4 linked regions of the Arabidopsis thaliana genome follow. The protein of the gene in region 4 interacts with the protein of the main gene of each other region in a biochemical or structural test. Each region holds a gene or a part of one and is shown on either strand. Other genes may lie near its edges.

Region 1 (4,691 bases), on a different chromosome or scaffold from region 4:
TAAAAAACCATCATTCTCTCTTTAAATCCCTTGATATAACACAAGTTTTTAATTTGATTCACCTCAATTAAATTCTTAATACAAGTTTGAAGAAGATCACATCCGAATGTATATTTTATTAATCCCTAAAATACATAATCCAAACTAAAACAAAGAAATCAAAAACCGCCTTTGAGATAAAGCATGAAGAGAAAGAAAAAGATGATTACAAGAATCTAAATCCCATCAGCTTGTTCATTGATACCGTGTTGAATTCGTCCAGCGTTGTTGTTTAAGAACATCATAGCCATTAGGGCTAAGATTATGAAGAAAATCGTTCCAGTTCCTAATCCTATGCCGCTTGGTCTGGTAGCAATCTTCTTCGAAACATTATTGTTCCGGCTGCTACAATAGCTTATCAAAACCCAAACAAATGCAGAATACGCCAGAATTAAGATCGCAGCCGTTGGCATCTTTAATATCTCTTTCTTGTGTTCGTGTGCAGAAACTGACTACTCTTGTGTTTTCTTTCTTGTGTTTGTGTTTTTAGACTCTTGTGTTTTCTTTTATATTGCATGTTTAAACTAATTAATGTCAATTCGTTTGTTTCCATTTTTTTTCTTTCCAAAAAAAAAGAAGACAATTTCTTTTTCGAATTTGAGGGCACAATGAAAGTGAGATACTTTTTTTTTGTTTATTGAAGAACAATATGATAGTAACAATGAACCCAACAGATTTCGTTGGCATATATAACAGGAAATTTCTAAGCCTAACTTGTTTGTTATTTCTTTGACCTAAGTCCAAGAACTCAAGTCGAGATCTCTCCTTTGCTTATTATACACACAAGCAAATGTATAAGTCCCCATATGCATTACCAGTAATCTCCACAAGAACACACTCCATTCTTGAATCGATGAAACCGGTTCACATCTCTGACTAGAATCTCTTTCTCCATAAACTTCGAGATGAACTTTGTAAACAAGTGACAGTCCTCGCACAAACGCAAGTTCTTCGTGATTCTGATTGGTTCTCCTTTCGATGTATTTATCAGCCCAAACGCCAACGCAAGTTTCTCACTGTGTCCCAACACTATCCTCTCTTTTTCTTCTGTTTCAAGCTCATACAGAACTCCTTTGGTCTGTGGTATGTACCCTTTCTCCTTCATATCTTCGGCTAACTTAACCAAGAAAGCATGAATCTGTTCCATAAGAGGGTTAAACTCATCAACCGAGACAAACGAGTACATTTTCCTCCTCACTTCCATCCAGCATCGACCAGGCAGCTTCTGCAGTCCCCTGTGTTCTAGAAGCTTCTTCACTCTCTTAACCTCATCCCACATCTGAGCTTCCGCGTAAATGTCTGCCAACAACACATAGTTCCCTGCATTTTTTGGTTCAAGCGCAAAGAGCCTTCTACTCGCCCGCTCTGCAAGCTCAACATTACCGTGAATTCTACAAGAACCAAGAAGGGAACCCCAAACCTTAGGCCCTGGTTCAGTCCTCATGTCTTGTACCATCTTTGCTGCCTCGTCTAACCTATTCGCCCGACCTAACAGATCAACCATACAAGCATAATGTTCGATTTGTGGTTTTATCCCATGGTCTCTCCACATTGTTTCAAACAGTCTCTTTCCTTCTTCAACAAGACCCTCGTGGCTGCAAGCTCCCAAAACGCTGACAAATGTTACGGGAGTTGGGGAAGCCCCGTTGGCGAGCATCTCTTCAAATATCTGAATTGCTTTTTTTCCATACCCGTGAACGCCATAGCTTGATATCAAGGAATTCCAGGACACAACATCCCGGTCATGCATTCGATCAAATACTCTTTGTCCCACTTCAAGCTTACCGCATCTACCATACATCGTCACAAGAGCACTGATCACTGGCAATATGGAGTCAAGCCCCCGTCTGAGTATGTACCCATGAATCAATTTCCCTTGCTCTAAAGCCGCAAGCGAAGCACAAGCTTGAAGCACACTAACCATAGTCACAGAATTCGGAGATGAATCTTTGGTTTCTCTCATCATTTCACGGAAAGTCCTCAGAGCTTCAAAAGCTTTCCCGTTCTTTGCATAGCAGGCGATCATAGCGCTCCAAGAAACAACGTTCCTCACCGGCATTCCCCCAAACACATAGCTGGCATAATCCACACAGCCAAATCTAGCATACATGTCCACCAACGTAGTCATAATGTAAACATGAGAACTGTAACCTCGTCGAGTAAGATGTGCATGAATCTCTTTCCCTTTCATCAGATGATTCACCGTGCATTCCGATGCAACACAAGCCTTGAGAACATAAGTGTATGTGAACCTATCTGACTCAACTCCAATCCTATTCATCTTCCAATACAAACCCAACACTTCTTCTCCATGACCTGCTAACGTAAGGGCTCGAAACAAAGCGTTCCAGACATATATAGTTCTCTTACGCGTTTTATCGAACACCTTCCGTGCATAATCCACAGAACCCAAATCCGAGTACATACCAATAAGCTTCGTAGCCAAAAAAGGATCTTGATCAGACCCATTATCCAGAATATGTCGATGAACACGTAGAGCATCAGAAAGAGAGCTCCGATGACCGCAGCAGAGAATCAGAAGCTCGTAAGTCTGTTGACTTGGGCTAGATTCCTGAGACAAGACGCGAATCGCTTGTTTAAGTTTACCCTCTTTGCACAATGATTGAATTAGCTGATTATTAGAGATTTTAGCTCCGGCGCCGGAGGAAATTGAAGGATTGTTTAAAGCAACGGAACACGACGGTGGCTTCAGAGGAGAGCGAGGTAAGAAGTTAACTGTATGATAAGTTGGTTGTATTACTTGAGGAGGGTGAGACAGAAACATTTTTCCGATGAGTTTACCGGAAAATTCCCAAAGAAAAACATAAAAATTCGCGGCTTTTCTATCAAATCTGCTTTTTGGATCGACGATAATAAAGAGAGGGGCTTTTTACTTGCCGATGCCACTAGTTTTCTCTGCTACTTCCGTTGGTTGGTTTACACGTGCCAATCACGTGGTTAGAAATGGGCCTTCTTGAATTAGGCCCATATTTGGTTAGTTTTGAATTGGGCTGATCTAAGTTTACGAGGCATCTTTTGCGCCGGGAATAATTTTCTTCCACGGCGGCCACCTGCGGGCCACCAGTATTCTGGCGAGATCCATTTCCAATCACCCAATGTAACGCTAATTTAACAATTATTTGATTCTATATCCCTTGGTGATTCACGAGGAAATAATTTATATGCAATCAAATCAAATACAAGAGTATTTTTAAAAACATATATAATATATAATTCATGTAAAACATAATTTCATTCATGGAGGTTGGCTTAAAAGAAAAATAACGATAGAAACAGTACATTATTAGTATCATGATACACTACTATTGTTTAGTAGTAATTACGACCCCTAGGGTTGCGAGTATTCCCACAACACTTATTAGAACAAAAGTAAAAGTCGTTGATTTGAAGTATATAAGGAAGCTTGCATCTTGAAGAACACCTAGAACAATGGGGTCTACAAATAGAAGTGTTGGGTACCACTACTCCATTTGCGATTTTGTTCGATGAAATGTGTCCTGGTACGTGATATGAGAAGTCTCCCACGACACACGATATGTGCAAAATGATTCCACATAGATTACATGTATACAACCATTCCTTTGGATCTACTTTTGTTTCACATACCTCACACCAAAGTTGACCATCTTCCTTATTTTCACCGTAAGACAAGTAGAGAGGATGATCGTCGTACCTCTGATTCATTACCTTTCTAGGTAAAGTAGCGCAGCGGAAGTCCAACCGAAATTCACACTCATCACAACACAACATATCCCTGGCGCTATATGTGATGTCACATGCAGAACATTTTGTATCCCCCTCAAGACTGAAGTATAAAGGATGTGGATGGCTTTCATGGAGAAATGGTTCATATATCGAACTACAACGAACATCTAGAGTAGCGGAACCAAACAAATTACGAGACTGAGTTTCGTACCTAAAACCGCTGAAATTCTGGAAACAAGCAGAACAATGTCTTCTTTGGCGTGGAGAATCTTTCAAATATGTATCTGTCGATAGAATTAAAGGTTTATTGTTGGATACATGCCTTATCTTTCTAGGCAGACTAGCACATGTTTCATGTAGAATAAAGTCGCATTGCTCACAACCATAAAACGGATCGTTATTGATTTTGGAGGCACATGCTTCACAAAATTTGCTTTCGTGGTTACCATCCTTGTTGAGTCTTAAATTATGGCCATGGATGAAGTGCTTGATCAGATTCTCATCGACCACCTCGAATGGCGCAATTTCCTCCTCTTCCGGTGTTCCTTCTAGTTCAACTTTGTACCATACATCCTTTCTCGTCGCGCATCTTGCATGAACAGCATAGCTAGGACATTTCGAGCAAGAATAAGCCCCATAAAACCCATCTACTTTCTTACGACAAACTCCACATGTCCAATTCCCGTGTCCAAGAAGACTAGTGTAAGAGATGCGATGATTATGACGATTGATATTTATCACGCGGGGTAAATCAATACAAGCTCGATGGATCATGAAATTGCATTGAAGACAAAAATAAGGACTTCGATCACCAGCCGTCCCACAAGCGTTGCAAGTAAAATTGACTAGTCTTGGAACAAGGTGGAGTTGATGCTCATGGGTCGTAGGACTCACAACAGAAACTGGCGGTGGTTTCGCCATACAGT
Region 2 (3,448 bases), on a different chromosome or scaffold from region 4:
TTCGCTTGAGTAATTCTAAATTTCTTTCTCCGGGAATGATCAAAACCTCAACTTTTGATTCCGTTTTATCTCCGACGGAACTTGAGTTTGCTTCTTCTCCAGGAAAACCCCTTTAATTAATCTTCTCTAGGCACTATGGGTTTAACCAAAGTTTGGGCCTTCTCTGTATTATAAAGCCCAATTATATGGGCCTAAAAGACAATGGGTCTGGGTAAAATAATATTAAGGATATTAATCTGTTCGTTTAAAAGAGTTGGTTTTATTCTGATAAGATTGTGCAAGTTTTTTGGTCTAATGGTTGTTGATCAAGACTTAAGTATTTCGAGATGATGTAAATTTTGTAAATTGATAGAGATAAGTTTTAAGTTTGTTTTTTTAACATCTTTTAAGTTTTAAGTTTATCTGATATTTCTAGTATTTCTGTGATGCAAATAGAACTATTCGTTAATGATGTCTTTCTTAAATTATTTTTAAAAAATATAGAAAAATACATTAACAAATCACAACCTTAGTTATATGATGATATACATATACGCATTCCATAACATAGATTCTTATATCAAACAAAATGAGACAACTTTTTGATAAACCATGCATTGGAAAATATCTCATAAACCATGCATCGGATAATATGTCATAATTCAAAATACAACAACATTTTAAAGGCTAAAGCATCTGTTTTTTTTCTTTTGTTATTGTGGTCAATGACTTAAAGAAAGCTTAATCGAAGATCTAATGGCGGTGGATGTTCCATTTCAGCTCCACATGATGAGTATGGAGAAAACGACGTCGTGGTGGTCTCTCGAATATATTCACGGTACTGGTTATTGCCTCTAGCTCTCATTTTGTCCACCTTGGAGTTGGAGTCTTCAAATGAATTCACCGGAAAGAGTTGTAATGTCTCTATCACCTTCTCTTCCTCTTGACAATCTTCTTCGCTTATTTCAAAAACATCTATAATAACACACTATTATCCATTAAATATATAGAAATATCATATAAAACAATAATGATATATAATTATATATATATATATATATATATATATATATAAAGAGACTACCTCTAGTTGATGGTTGATGATGATGATGATCAAAATCAATGGAGATTTTACGACGTTTCTGCCTCTCCCTAGCCTTATGATTCTGAAACCAATAGAAAACATTCTTGCTCTCTATCTTGCCGTAGAAACTGAGCTCCGTAGAGATCTTCTGAATCTGATCAGTTGTTGGAGTTCTAAGACCGGCTCGAAACAGATCAGTCAATATCTTCAACTGCTCCACCGTTGGATTCCATCTCCCGCACTTCGTCCCCGTTCCTCCGTTATTGTTGCCACGTAAGCTTCGACCTTTCACGGAGAAAGACATGTTCAGATGTAAAGTCCTCAACTGTTTTACGTTTTAGGGCCTGTGTATATATCCATATATATAGTAAGATTGTTCATAATAATTTATTAAGTTTTCATCTTTTCGAAAATAAAAAGAGAAATGAATTGATGAAATGTCGGGAGGAGAGGTTTTCGAGTTATGTGTCGTTTTATGATGAGTTGTTTATTACGAAATGCATGCTTTGTTTTTTTTGGGGATTTGGGAGAGACTGATCTTTGCAGATTTGATCGTTTTCTTTATCCTAACCTATCTAGGCTTCTGTTCCATCTATATTTACATATGTTTTTGTGTGTATATATTAGTATATAATTGGATCTCGCATTCATGCCATGGCATGCATAAGTTGTATATCGGAACCAGCGATTGAAACATTGAATTTGTTCTCCTTTAATTTGTGGTGACTCGCACACACTTAAATTGCGTTCTACGTAATTTCTTACTATTCATATAACATGATAAGAATAATCAGAAAGCCTTGGTGGTAATGTACTATCTAGTGTCAATATTTTAACGTTCGATATTGTAACTTCAATGCTTCAACTATTCCAAATTATGACACTAGAAATTTTACATTCACTTTCTTTTTTTTGTATTTGTTTTGAAGTTAGAAGTTCTTTACAAATTGTAGATCTAATCTGTAATCAATAATAAGTTGAAATAGCTAGCAAGTCCTAAACAAAGATTGTATGCAATTACATTATTGAGACGGATGGATGGCCGATATTAGTTTGATATGAATGAAGATGATAAGATTAATTATAAACATCATGACATTGTGTGAACAGATTGTAGTTTTGTCTCTCTTGCACAGAAGATGTGACACTTGAGGAACGTTGGTCGGCAAGTGTAGACAGGAAATTTGAAATTTTATTCTCTTTTATAAGAAAATATAATATTACAAAATCAAATATCTGAATTCTGAATCATAAAAAACTACAAAAAGAAAAGGCATTTAATAGATAGAACCAGAAGGTTCGCCACACACATGTATAATATAAGTCCTACACCAAAATATTTGTAAAAAGCCATTTATTAAGTCACCAAGAACTCCTTCTAGAATGAAGAATGGTTGAAAGATGACTGCAAGATGTAAAAATAATTTTAACCATCAATAAAAGTATAAACTCATAGTGTTTTACTAGCCTCTATATGCTATCACGTCAATTAGATCTGATTTTTGAAATCTGAAAATGAGACAGCAGCAATAGTAACATAAATCATGCATTATACTGTAAATGCTTTGGTCAAAAATTTATTTCTTAGTTAAAATCTAACTGCATTCTAGTATATAACCTGCGACCGAAAAAATATTTCACTTTTAAGCGTACAACTCATACATGCCTCAGTTTTAACAATATACAATCCAGCTCTTATAATTTTGCATAGTCTAGTTGTTTGTACAAGAAACTTATTGATGTCTATATGAACAGTACGTATGACACCAGCAGAAATAGAAAGGAAAAACTTATAATATTCATGTAGTGTGCGTTAAAATGTCTTAATAGTGAGGATTTAGATGAGACATGCACGGGATGCTAAGCAAGACGAAAATGGTCCAAATAATAAAATGACAATGTGAATAAAACCAAACATTGTTTTTATAAACAAAGTACTCTTCACTAGACAACATAACAGTACTTACAAATATCTTTGTCTCTCTCGCATATAAACTGCATCTTGTTTTTAAAATTGATCAATTCGGTGTCAAAGTCAAAGTTCACGTGGCTTATGTTACTTGGAATCATCCCAGTTAATTTACATAACATCTTTGTTTAATTACAAATTTCTTACAGAATATCTCATTACCTACTCTCGAGTCTAACTAAATAAGTAGATTTTTGGATTTAATTCGGTTTAGAGAAACTTTATGACTTAGATTTGTTAGATATATAGAAAAAAGTGGCATGCACCCAGCACCCAATTAGTCATCAATTACTGGTACTGGATGATAAAACAGTTGTGAGTTGTACATTAAAAAGTTAAAGATAGCATGTCGTGGATTTGAGATATCAAAACTCTCGTATTGGATGCCCCCAAACATATCATATACTTTGTTTTTT
Region 3 (3,602 bases), on a different chromosome or scaffold from region 4:
CTAACGAAAATAATAATAATTTAGACAAGGTAGAATTTGAATAATAATTGATCAAAGAGAAATCGGATTCATAATAATAATGTTTTATTTTACTCAATGTGATTCATAATTAAAGGTCACGCAAAAGCATAAACGGTAATGATATATATCTCTGGAAAATCTGACAGTAATGGACCTAATTAGAATCGAATATGCTCCTCTGGATTATCATCTATTATAGAGCACTTTTTTCTATAATAAAATCACAAAGCCATGTGTATATTAGGGAGTATATTTCAATAATGTAGTCAAGAGATGCTTAATTGCTTATACTACAGTCATCAATTTTAAATAAAGATGACGATTATTTCTTCTCTACTTTACTAAGCAAAGAATTTTAAAATGTTGTGGATAATATAGATTTTGAACCAACTTTGTGTTGGTCCAATGATAAATTTTAGAGGTGGAAGTATTAGGTTCGACGCCCGTCGGGAGGAATCTTTATGTGTGGATCTCGCCTCTAGAAAATGTAGATTTGAACTTTTAGATATTAAAAAAAATACAGATGTTGAGAGTGAGAATTCAGAATTGTTTGGCCACCTAACACTAACTACGTAAATTGGCCACTGATTTTTATATAGGTAAGGTATGGTATATTACTTTTTTTTTGGAATATTATGTAAAATCATTCGGAAAAAAAAAACTGTTTTACATCAAGTGCAGCTTGTGTTTGAGCAAGAATTAAGAAGATGTCTAGATTATTTTGAACCAAACCAGATTGCCATAGAATCTTCATATCTTCTATCACCTAGCTCTCGAATAGAAAAGATTCTGTTTCGGGTTTGCTTGTCGAGTTCGCGAGTTAACTGGGAGATATGAATAGGTACTTCTCCATGTCGACGACCATTCCGTTCCTTCCATATCGAGTGCACCGTGAGCTGAAAAGTATATCTCACCAATAACAAGCATTCTTTCCCTAGAGACTTATCTGTGATGAGTTTGTTTGAGGTATGGTATTACACTAATACACTAAAAGTATTATTAACGAAATATGGTAAGAGTACATGTGTATTAACTGTGTAGAAGAATCACATGATCAAGTCATCAAGGAAAGGGATGCTAAAAGGGAGTTTGATAACTCCACAAGCTACGAGCAGTGACATAATCCATATTGGAAGAATCCATTGAATTGTAAACATCAAAACTGGTTTCCCTGCAATATCAATGAAGTAGATGTGTCTAAGCCAACGCAACTATGGAATATGATTAGTATGAGATTATAATCACTAAACTAACCCGAGGAACGAAGCTTAGGCTCTGTTCGAGCTACAAAGATTTCGCCAATCTCCCGTAGCTTCTTCTCGATCTTACTTTCGAATTTATTAGCATGGCCTAATAGAAGCTCATCGAATACCGTATTCATATCCATTTCCCTTTCACGAGACAAAAAAAAACAAATATCAAAACCGCGCATATACGATACTGTATATAAGTACACATTTTGAAAATGTAATTAGTGTCTTTAATTACCCTTCGGAATCACGATATGATCCAGAGCCAAAAGCTCTCTCAATCTGTGCTATCGAAGGCTTGTTGCCTCGTCGTTGCTGGTTTTGACTTCCCATTTGTTTGCTCACTTGTCTTAGTTTTAACGGTTTCTTTGACGGAGAAGTAGGAGAGGGAAGCTTCGACGGTGAAGAAGAAGGAAGTGGAGACGGTGAGTCATTAGTTAGAGACGCCATAGTAGGCGTTGAAGCTCTGGTGATGGAGTAGATGGTGGATAACACCGCCATTGCCTCCTCCTTCTCTTGTGTGGTTTAAAATATTTTAGTCAAAGAGGATTTCTATGTTTCATCCTCTTGAATTCTCCAGCCAATTAAAACTTGAGAACAGGCCACGTCAGCTAAGACTGTCTTTTTAATCTTGAGGACATGCCAATTTTTGGATTGATGACGTCATTGATTGTTTGTCTTTGTTAAGAGGATTTTTATCCCACATCGCTTAGGTTAAAACAAAGTTAATAATAGTACTATGCTCCGATTTGATATCTCTTCTGGATAACCAAAAAGATTAGCCAACTTTTGCAGCGGAATTCGCCTCTTTTTCGGTGTTTTATTGTTTATTTTTCTTTTTTTCGTATTAGATTTTTTTCTCAAAAATTTAACACTCGAGTAGACCTTTTAGCCAAAAAAGTTAAAACTGAAAATGTTATTTTCTCTCATGTAAGCACGTCGGTTCCTTAATAGTTTTCTCTAACGGATAGTATCTTTTCGATAACTTAATAAAAATGGTGTTTGACGGAAAAATAACAAAAATAATATTAATATGATAACGTTTAGGATATTGTCTCTTCAAATACGCAACACCGTTTTAAATTTAACGTGTAAATTTGCTACAAGATTGTGTTGTTTTACATGTGAATAAAGTTCAAAATTTTGGTTACTAGAAGAAACCATTTTCTTTCATAACAAAAGGAGAAAGGTGTGTGTACCTTCCAAGACTTGAAAAAGATTAAATTATCAATTAACATAGAGCTATCGTTTTCCAAAAGGCTAATCGTTCTAAACCAAACACCACCCACTCTTAAACAACATTACCAAATCATATTCAAAAGGGAATCATAAGAACACAACAGAAGATTATGATCCACCATTAGAAAGAAGCTTTTAGCTATCCCAAAAAAGAAAGAAAGAGAGATCCATTCATTGGTAATGGCAGATTCCGACATAGAGACGAGCAGCAACCAAAATAGCAATAGCAACACCAGCCATTCAACTACTTCAACCACGAGTGTTCATGTTACGGCTCTCGATGGGATTGTAAGTGCTAATTCTCTCTTCACGGTTGCAGTCTTTGTCGGAATCTCCTTCGACCAGCCAAGTGACCTCACCCTCACGGACAGAACAGAGTGCAGTGCAGGACGAGACGTGGAACGTGACCTGGTTGTGTTTGAAGTCATCTCATTTGCCTTCTTTCTCTTCTCCTCCCTTGTGGCTCAAGGGATGAAGCTAGCCATCAACCTTTTGAACAGCAAAGAAACGGACGAAGTGTTTAAAGCGAATATCAACAGAGATGTGCTTCGTTTCGGTGTGGTTGGTGCAGCTGGTGGATCTATCTTGGGTTGTGTATTTCTTCTGTTGTCAATTGTTGATGTTATACAACTCCGTCTGGGGCTTCTCTCTTGCGGCAATGCTTTGGCGATTCATACCGTGCTGGTGCTTGTGGTATTGGTCTCTTCTGCTCTCAGTGTTTATATCTTCACAGTGTTCTACTCTTTCAGGAAATGATTGATAGTTGTAGAGTAACAAATAGTTGTGAAATAAGCGATATATAATATGTCTACTCGATAATGTTTAAAAACATAATGCAAACATATATGTATCGGTTGATAAGATTGTTACCGAGAATGTAAAAGTCTGCGAAACTAGGCCATTCTCTTGCAAAACCAATTATATAATATGTCTACTCGATAATTAGGTCATCAGTAGAGACTAAAAGATCATACCAAAGGTATCAGGTAATCTTTGGAAATTAGGTAATCGTTGCAAAGTGTTTCCTTGAAGCTCTCTCGAGACCCTTTGGGCTTTGGGTGGGCTTTGGGTGCGAACCCGTCCGTTCCATTG
Region 4 (5,035 bases):
TGTAACATTTATCAATGAATGTGGAAAACTAAATGGGCGGTGTGTGGTGGTGGGGAGGTGTATCACTTTGTTGGTCTCAACATGTGACTCGAGAATCTATCATACACACATTGTCATCGACATAGTTTCAGTATTCACGCCCCATAAAGTGTTCGGTGGTGACAATATCTACACCCCCCCTCACATGTTCATTTTTGTTACATGCTATAGATTATATTTCTTTATACAAATTTACTATGAAAAATCTGTTGCAATTATGTGTAATGTTCATCCATTCTCCACTTGGGCTATGTATTTGGTTTGGCTCAAGAAAATTCTTAAAGACTCTATATCTATTATTTTCAGCTTAAGATTTTAGAAAAAGTTACATTTAATGGAAAACATTTTTTTGGTTGAATTAATTTTACATTCATTCACAAAAAAAAATCTTTGAAATGGTGTCTCTTAATTTGCTAGAGTCTTTCTTTCGATATCATAAGCCAATAATTTTTTGGTGTAAATTTAGGAGGTTTGTTTGGAATCATTCAATCATATTTCTTCCCATAAATCACTAAATTATGAAGTATAATTATGTCTTTTGTAGTTATTTTGTTTCAAGTCATGGAAATTTTAATTTGACATAATAATCTGAAGAAGAAGATAATGAGGATTTGATATATATACAAGAAGAGTAGGTTAACACTTAACACTTAGTCATGACATCAACTAAAACTCTTTTGTCTTTTTTTCCCTACCCAAAGTTGGATCCTAGACCAAGAATTTAAGATTATATCTGGCGATAGATTTACAGATTCTTCTCAAGTTTAAAGCAGTTAAAACCTAGATGAGATTGAAACCTCACAGCTAAGTGAAGTTGTTCTTCAAGAGTAGGAACGGACCAAGCCAAAGTTGACAAAAGATTTCGACTTGAAGAGACCCCCAAAGAGAAATCTTGTCGGTGATTCGTGAGAAGGCGATTTCTGTCTTTGTTGTTGTTCTTGAGGGTTGTTCTTGACTTTGAGAATAGTTTGGCCTATGGTTTGTCTTATGGAATCTATGGTCTTAGCATCGATTGAGTAACCAGATGCATCACTGACATAGAATGTGTTTAGAGCTTTGCCTCCTTTGGTTTTCACTTCAGCTCTTGTGACCGTTAGGCTGTTTTCACGGAATATGCGAGTCACGTTTGACAATAAGCCTACTCTATCCGTCGTGCACAGTTCCAACTTCAATCCCTAAAACATCAAACAATGATCTCTCAGTGACAGTTACAGAAAGAGTATATACCAGACACTATATATTACTGGATCATTTACCTCAGATACTCTTCTTTTGATAGCTGCTTCAAGACATTGTATGACTCTTTGCTTCTCTGCCTCTGATTTCACAGGGGATCCATCTATATGTCTCACATAATACTCCTGCAAAGCAAAGACAAAGACCGATAAGTAAATGGATTCAAGGAAACTCTCTGCTCTATGGTAATGGGATATTTCTTTACCTGAAACGCCTCGGTGCCCTCAGTATCAACACTTCCATGGAAAACCACATACTGCATATCAGTCAAAGTGCAGACTGTGTCGAACAGAAGCTTTGGTCTGTCTTTACATCTAACTGTGACCACAGAGTAATCCTTATCGAGCCAATTATCAACACAAACATCTGGTCTTTGCCTTTCATCTTGGATAGAGGAATCATCATCCACCAAACGGTGTTCATAGTCTCTATCCTCAAACATCATCTGATGAAGCCTCCTATCCGTGTGGACCTCCCCATGAGACACTACGGTTTTAGCTTCCCTTGGTGTGTTGCTTCCCTTAAGCACATTTCTGAGAAGGTTCTTGATCCGAGACAACCTCTCTGGATCAGAAATGCCACACCCGGTTAAGTCATCTGTGACCTGCATCACAGCAGCTGCTCTGGTGTTGTGTGTCCAAATCTCAGCGTTGAGGACACTGCATTTGAGATGGGTCAAAACAGCTGACAGTTCAGACAGCAGACCTGGTCTGTCACATCCAGTTAACTCAATAACCGTGCTGTCTGTTGATGGTATGACACCAACTGATCTCATGGAAGTGGAGAAACAAGCTTCAGGCCCAAGAGACTGAGAATTAAACACAACACACTCATTAAACTCTCACTCACACATAAGAAGAAGATAACAAGTTTAACAAAAAAACACTCACCTTTTGGATATAGTCTAGAACAACTTCATCAGTGACTTTGTTACCATCTTGATCAGTGACATTAAATACTGCCAAGTAGCAGAGAGAATAAGAGAATCAATCCCTTGTTCTAAAGTAAAGAGAATCCAAAAAAAAAGAAAATTTAACAATCGGAACATACCATCCATAAACCAACCACCATCAGAAGATATGTACGCCTTAGTGATAGTAAGGTTAAGATCAGTAAGGATTTGTACAACTTCAAGAAGAATCCCATATTCATTTGCACTATCCACCTAAACAACATCAAGAAGACAAAACAAAAAATTCAGGACAAGTCTACATAAATGAATAAACAAGATATATAGACATAAACCAAAATTATAAGTGTACCCTTATCACAGTTGCCTTCTTGCAAGAGTCATTATCAATCACAACCCTGGAAAATAAAACAGAGGTTTTTATCCAAAATCATATCACACTATTAAAAGTAGTTATAATAACAAAAAGGAAGGAGAAAGAAAAAAGTTAATACCTTGGTGGATTCATTCTTCTTATCAGCTTCTCATACTCATTATCCATATCTTGTGAAAAACTCATACTAACATCTGCAATCAAAAAATTCCCAAATATAAAAAAATCAGTGAGTTTCAAAGACAGAAACTTTCAAAAATCAGAACAAAACCCATGAATAATAATCTCTTCTTTCTCTCTGTATTCTTGTAAATACCAATAAACAGAGAGATACCACTGACATCAAATCCTAGGTAAATTTCTAAAAGAGCTTAACAGAGAAAAAAACCACAAGAAGAAGAAGAAAAACAAAAACTTTAACCTGCAACTACCAAATACTGAAAACCCCATAACCAATAATGAAATATCTTACCCAAAAATCGTATGAAGAAGAATCAACAATGAGAAAAAAGAAAGAAAGAAAAAAGAGACATACCCATGTTCCTTTTTTGGGTTTAAGCCACTGTTTGATTCTTGACACTTGAGAGAGAAGGAGCAAAAGGTTGGAGAAAGACCTGCATATATAATGGCGACCCACAAGATCTTTTTTTTTTTCCTTTCACTCTAATAATATTTCCTTAAAATTATTAAATTAAAAATGGAAAATTAAACCAACAAAAATAGAAATTAATCTGACACGATTCTCCCATAAACGAGCAACTCTCACGAAAAATATCTTTATATTATTATAACTTTCCCGCGGCTTCGATCAGAGGAAAAAAAAAACTGATATTGCTTATTGTTCTTAATATACAGTGAAGAAGAAGGAAGAGAAAAGATGTGTGAACTGTAACTCTCAGCGTATGTTAGTAAACAGTAGTATGTTTTAAGTGGAAAATAGCTAAAATGCGCGGATAAGTTAGCATGCTACATATCTTTGTTTAACCACGTGATGGTAATTAAATAAAATTACTGGGTAGTAATTATGACAAGGTCTCTTCTAATCTGTAACCCAAATTTCTCGGAGTAGAAGATGTGAAAATTTTTTAATTACTGTTTCGAATTTTAAGCCGATTATATATTATTCTTTTGAGATTGGATCGTGTAATGTAGAGATTCTGATATATATGATAATTTCCTTATTAGTGTGAAAAAGAAATGATATGATTCCATGATTCCATCTTAATAAATCATATATATTCCATCGTGAAGAGAGATTCATGACCCGTATTGATTCTATGGAATATTATTAAGATATATACAATGTGCCATAAAATCTCTGAAGAATATATATTTATTTCCTAACTTTTGCTCCAAAAGGAATATATATATATATATTATATATGTCTATTTCCATTTCAAATCAGGAAAAAAGATAACTGCAAATGGGTGTTTTTAAAGAGCGACCATATGGAATAATTGTACCGTATCAAAATTATTGTCCAACGTTTGTTTTCCTTATATTAGAATTTACAAGAGACCGAGAAAAGAAGCCAAAAATATACAATAGTATTAAATGGACCATATTTTGTGTTTTTGTTAAACGTTGATGATTACTTTAAATGATCCAATTAAATCGAGTAATTAAAAAAACGTAACTGATGGACCAAGATATTTGTTGAGTCACACACTAACATTGATTTTAAATCCTCGTTATATTACATGTTGTTAATAAAGAAAGAAGAAGAAAAACGTAAATGGTGTTACGATCAAATAGTTTTGTTTTTAAGATTCTGTCGGAATTAAATACAATCGAGATTCAAGAATTAACCGATGGAACACATAAATGTTGAGAGACAGAGGAAAAGCGAAAATCAATAGCGTGAAAACATAGAGCATACAGAGTTTACAGGGTGGCAATGTACTCTTCGCTTTACGTACCATTGTCTATATATTGACCGTACCTTCATTCACATCTCTTTCCCAACATTAAAGATTTGTTTTTATTTTTTTTGGTTTATTATTTCACATTACCAAATTATTGATAAATAAATACATCAGATTCGAGACCTCCTCGGCATTTTCCATGTTTTTCAACAACCGAAAACACTATGGAATTTAATTATGTGTGAGTTTTACACACACTATTTGTGTTCTATCTATTTCTATAAGAAAAGTGAGTTATATATATATAATCGTTTCCCAACATATTTACGTAAAGTTCGCATGGGACTCAAATATTTCTACATATTCACATCTAATAGTAGTATTTGTATATATATATATATATATATATAGAAGTTTTCTTTTAAGAAAATGGGGAATGTGTTTTGGTGTACAAAATGATGATCCACCATGACTGAATGAATATAATCATATATATATTGGCATGATTTTCAAAATATTTCACAAAAATATGTAGAGATTTCAAATTTAATATAATTTTTTCCAGGATGTCATTTTTAATGTGTTAAATAGTAGTATTTTAACAAATATAT

Evidence for each region.
Region 1: of the proteins of ACR4 (region 4) and CRR2, one has a biochemical effect on the other in vitro, tested with the Arabidopsis thaliana proteins (one study listed by BioGRID).
Region 2: the proteins of ACR4 (region 4) and WOX5 form a complex in vitro, tested with the Arabidopsis thaliana proteins (one study listed by BioGRID).
Region 3: of the proteins of ACR4 (region 4) and CRR3, one has a biochemical effect on the other in vitro, tested with the Arabidopsis thaliana proteins (one study listed by BioGRID).

What each region holds. Positions count from the first base shown.
Region 1 is NC_003074.8:17,231,125-17,235,815, forward strand, and holds CRR2 (Tetratricopeptide repeat (TPR)-like superfamily protein), read right to left. Parts: upstream 2,922-4,691; 5' UTR 2,825-2,921; coding exon 851-2,824; 3' UTR 557-850; downstream 1-556. Other genes in the region: AT3G46800 (Cysteine/Histidine-rich C1 domain family protein), read right to left, coding at 3,370-4,691. UniProt on the Arabidopsis thaliana protein: Required for the intergenic processing between chloroplast rsp7 and ndhB transcripts. Necessary for chloroplast NADH dehydrogenase-like (NDH) complex-dependent cyclic electron transport around PSI (CET).
Region 2 is NC_003074.8:3,525,525-3,528,972, reverse strand, and holds WOX5 (WUSCHEL related homeobox 5), read right to left. Parts: upstream 1,694-3,448; 5' UTR 1,368-1,693; coding exon 1,064-1,367; intron 955-1,063; coding exon 710-954; 3' UTR 533-709; downstream 1-532. UniProt on the Arabidopsis thaliana protein: Transcription factor, which may be involved in the specification and maintenance of the stem cells (QC cells) in the root apical meristem (RAM).
Region 3 is NC_003071.7:264,845-268,446, reverse strand, and holds CRR3 (chlororespiratory reduction 3), read right to left. Parts: upstream 1,889-3,602; 5' UTR 1,773-1,888; coding exon 1,510-1,772; intron 1,413-1,509; coding exon 1,276-1,412; intron 1,193-1,275; coding exon 1,068-1,192; 3' UTR 968-1,067; coding exon of another isoform or gene 964-967; 3' UTR 521-963; downstream 1-520. Other genes in the region: AT2G01580 (uncharacterized protein), read left to right, coding at 2,691-3,266. UniProt on the Arabidopsis thaliana protein: Probable subunit of the chloroplast NAD(P)H dehydrogenase (NDH) complex of the photosynthetic electron transport chain. Required for both formation and activity of NDH. May function in assembly or stabilization of the NDH complex.
Region 4 is NC_003070.9:25,955,905-25,960,939, reverse strand, and holds ACR4 (ACT domain repeat 4), read right to left. Parts: upstream 3,374-5,035; 5' UTR 3,098-3,373; coding exon 3,094-3,097; exon of another isoform or gene 2,753-3,093; coding exon 2,680-2,752; intron 2,584-2,679; coding exon 2,538-2,583; intron 2,441-2,537; coding exon 2,326-2,440; intron 2,234-2,325; coding exon 2,166-2,233; intron 2,084-2,165; coding exon 1,481-2,083; intron 1,401-1,480; coding exon 1,296-1,400; intron 1,215-1,295; coding exon 861-1,214; 3' UTR 539-860; downstream 1-538. UniProt on the Arabidopsis thaliana protein: May bind amino acids.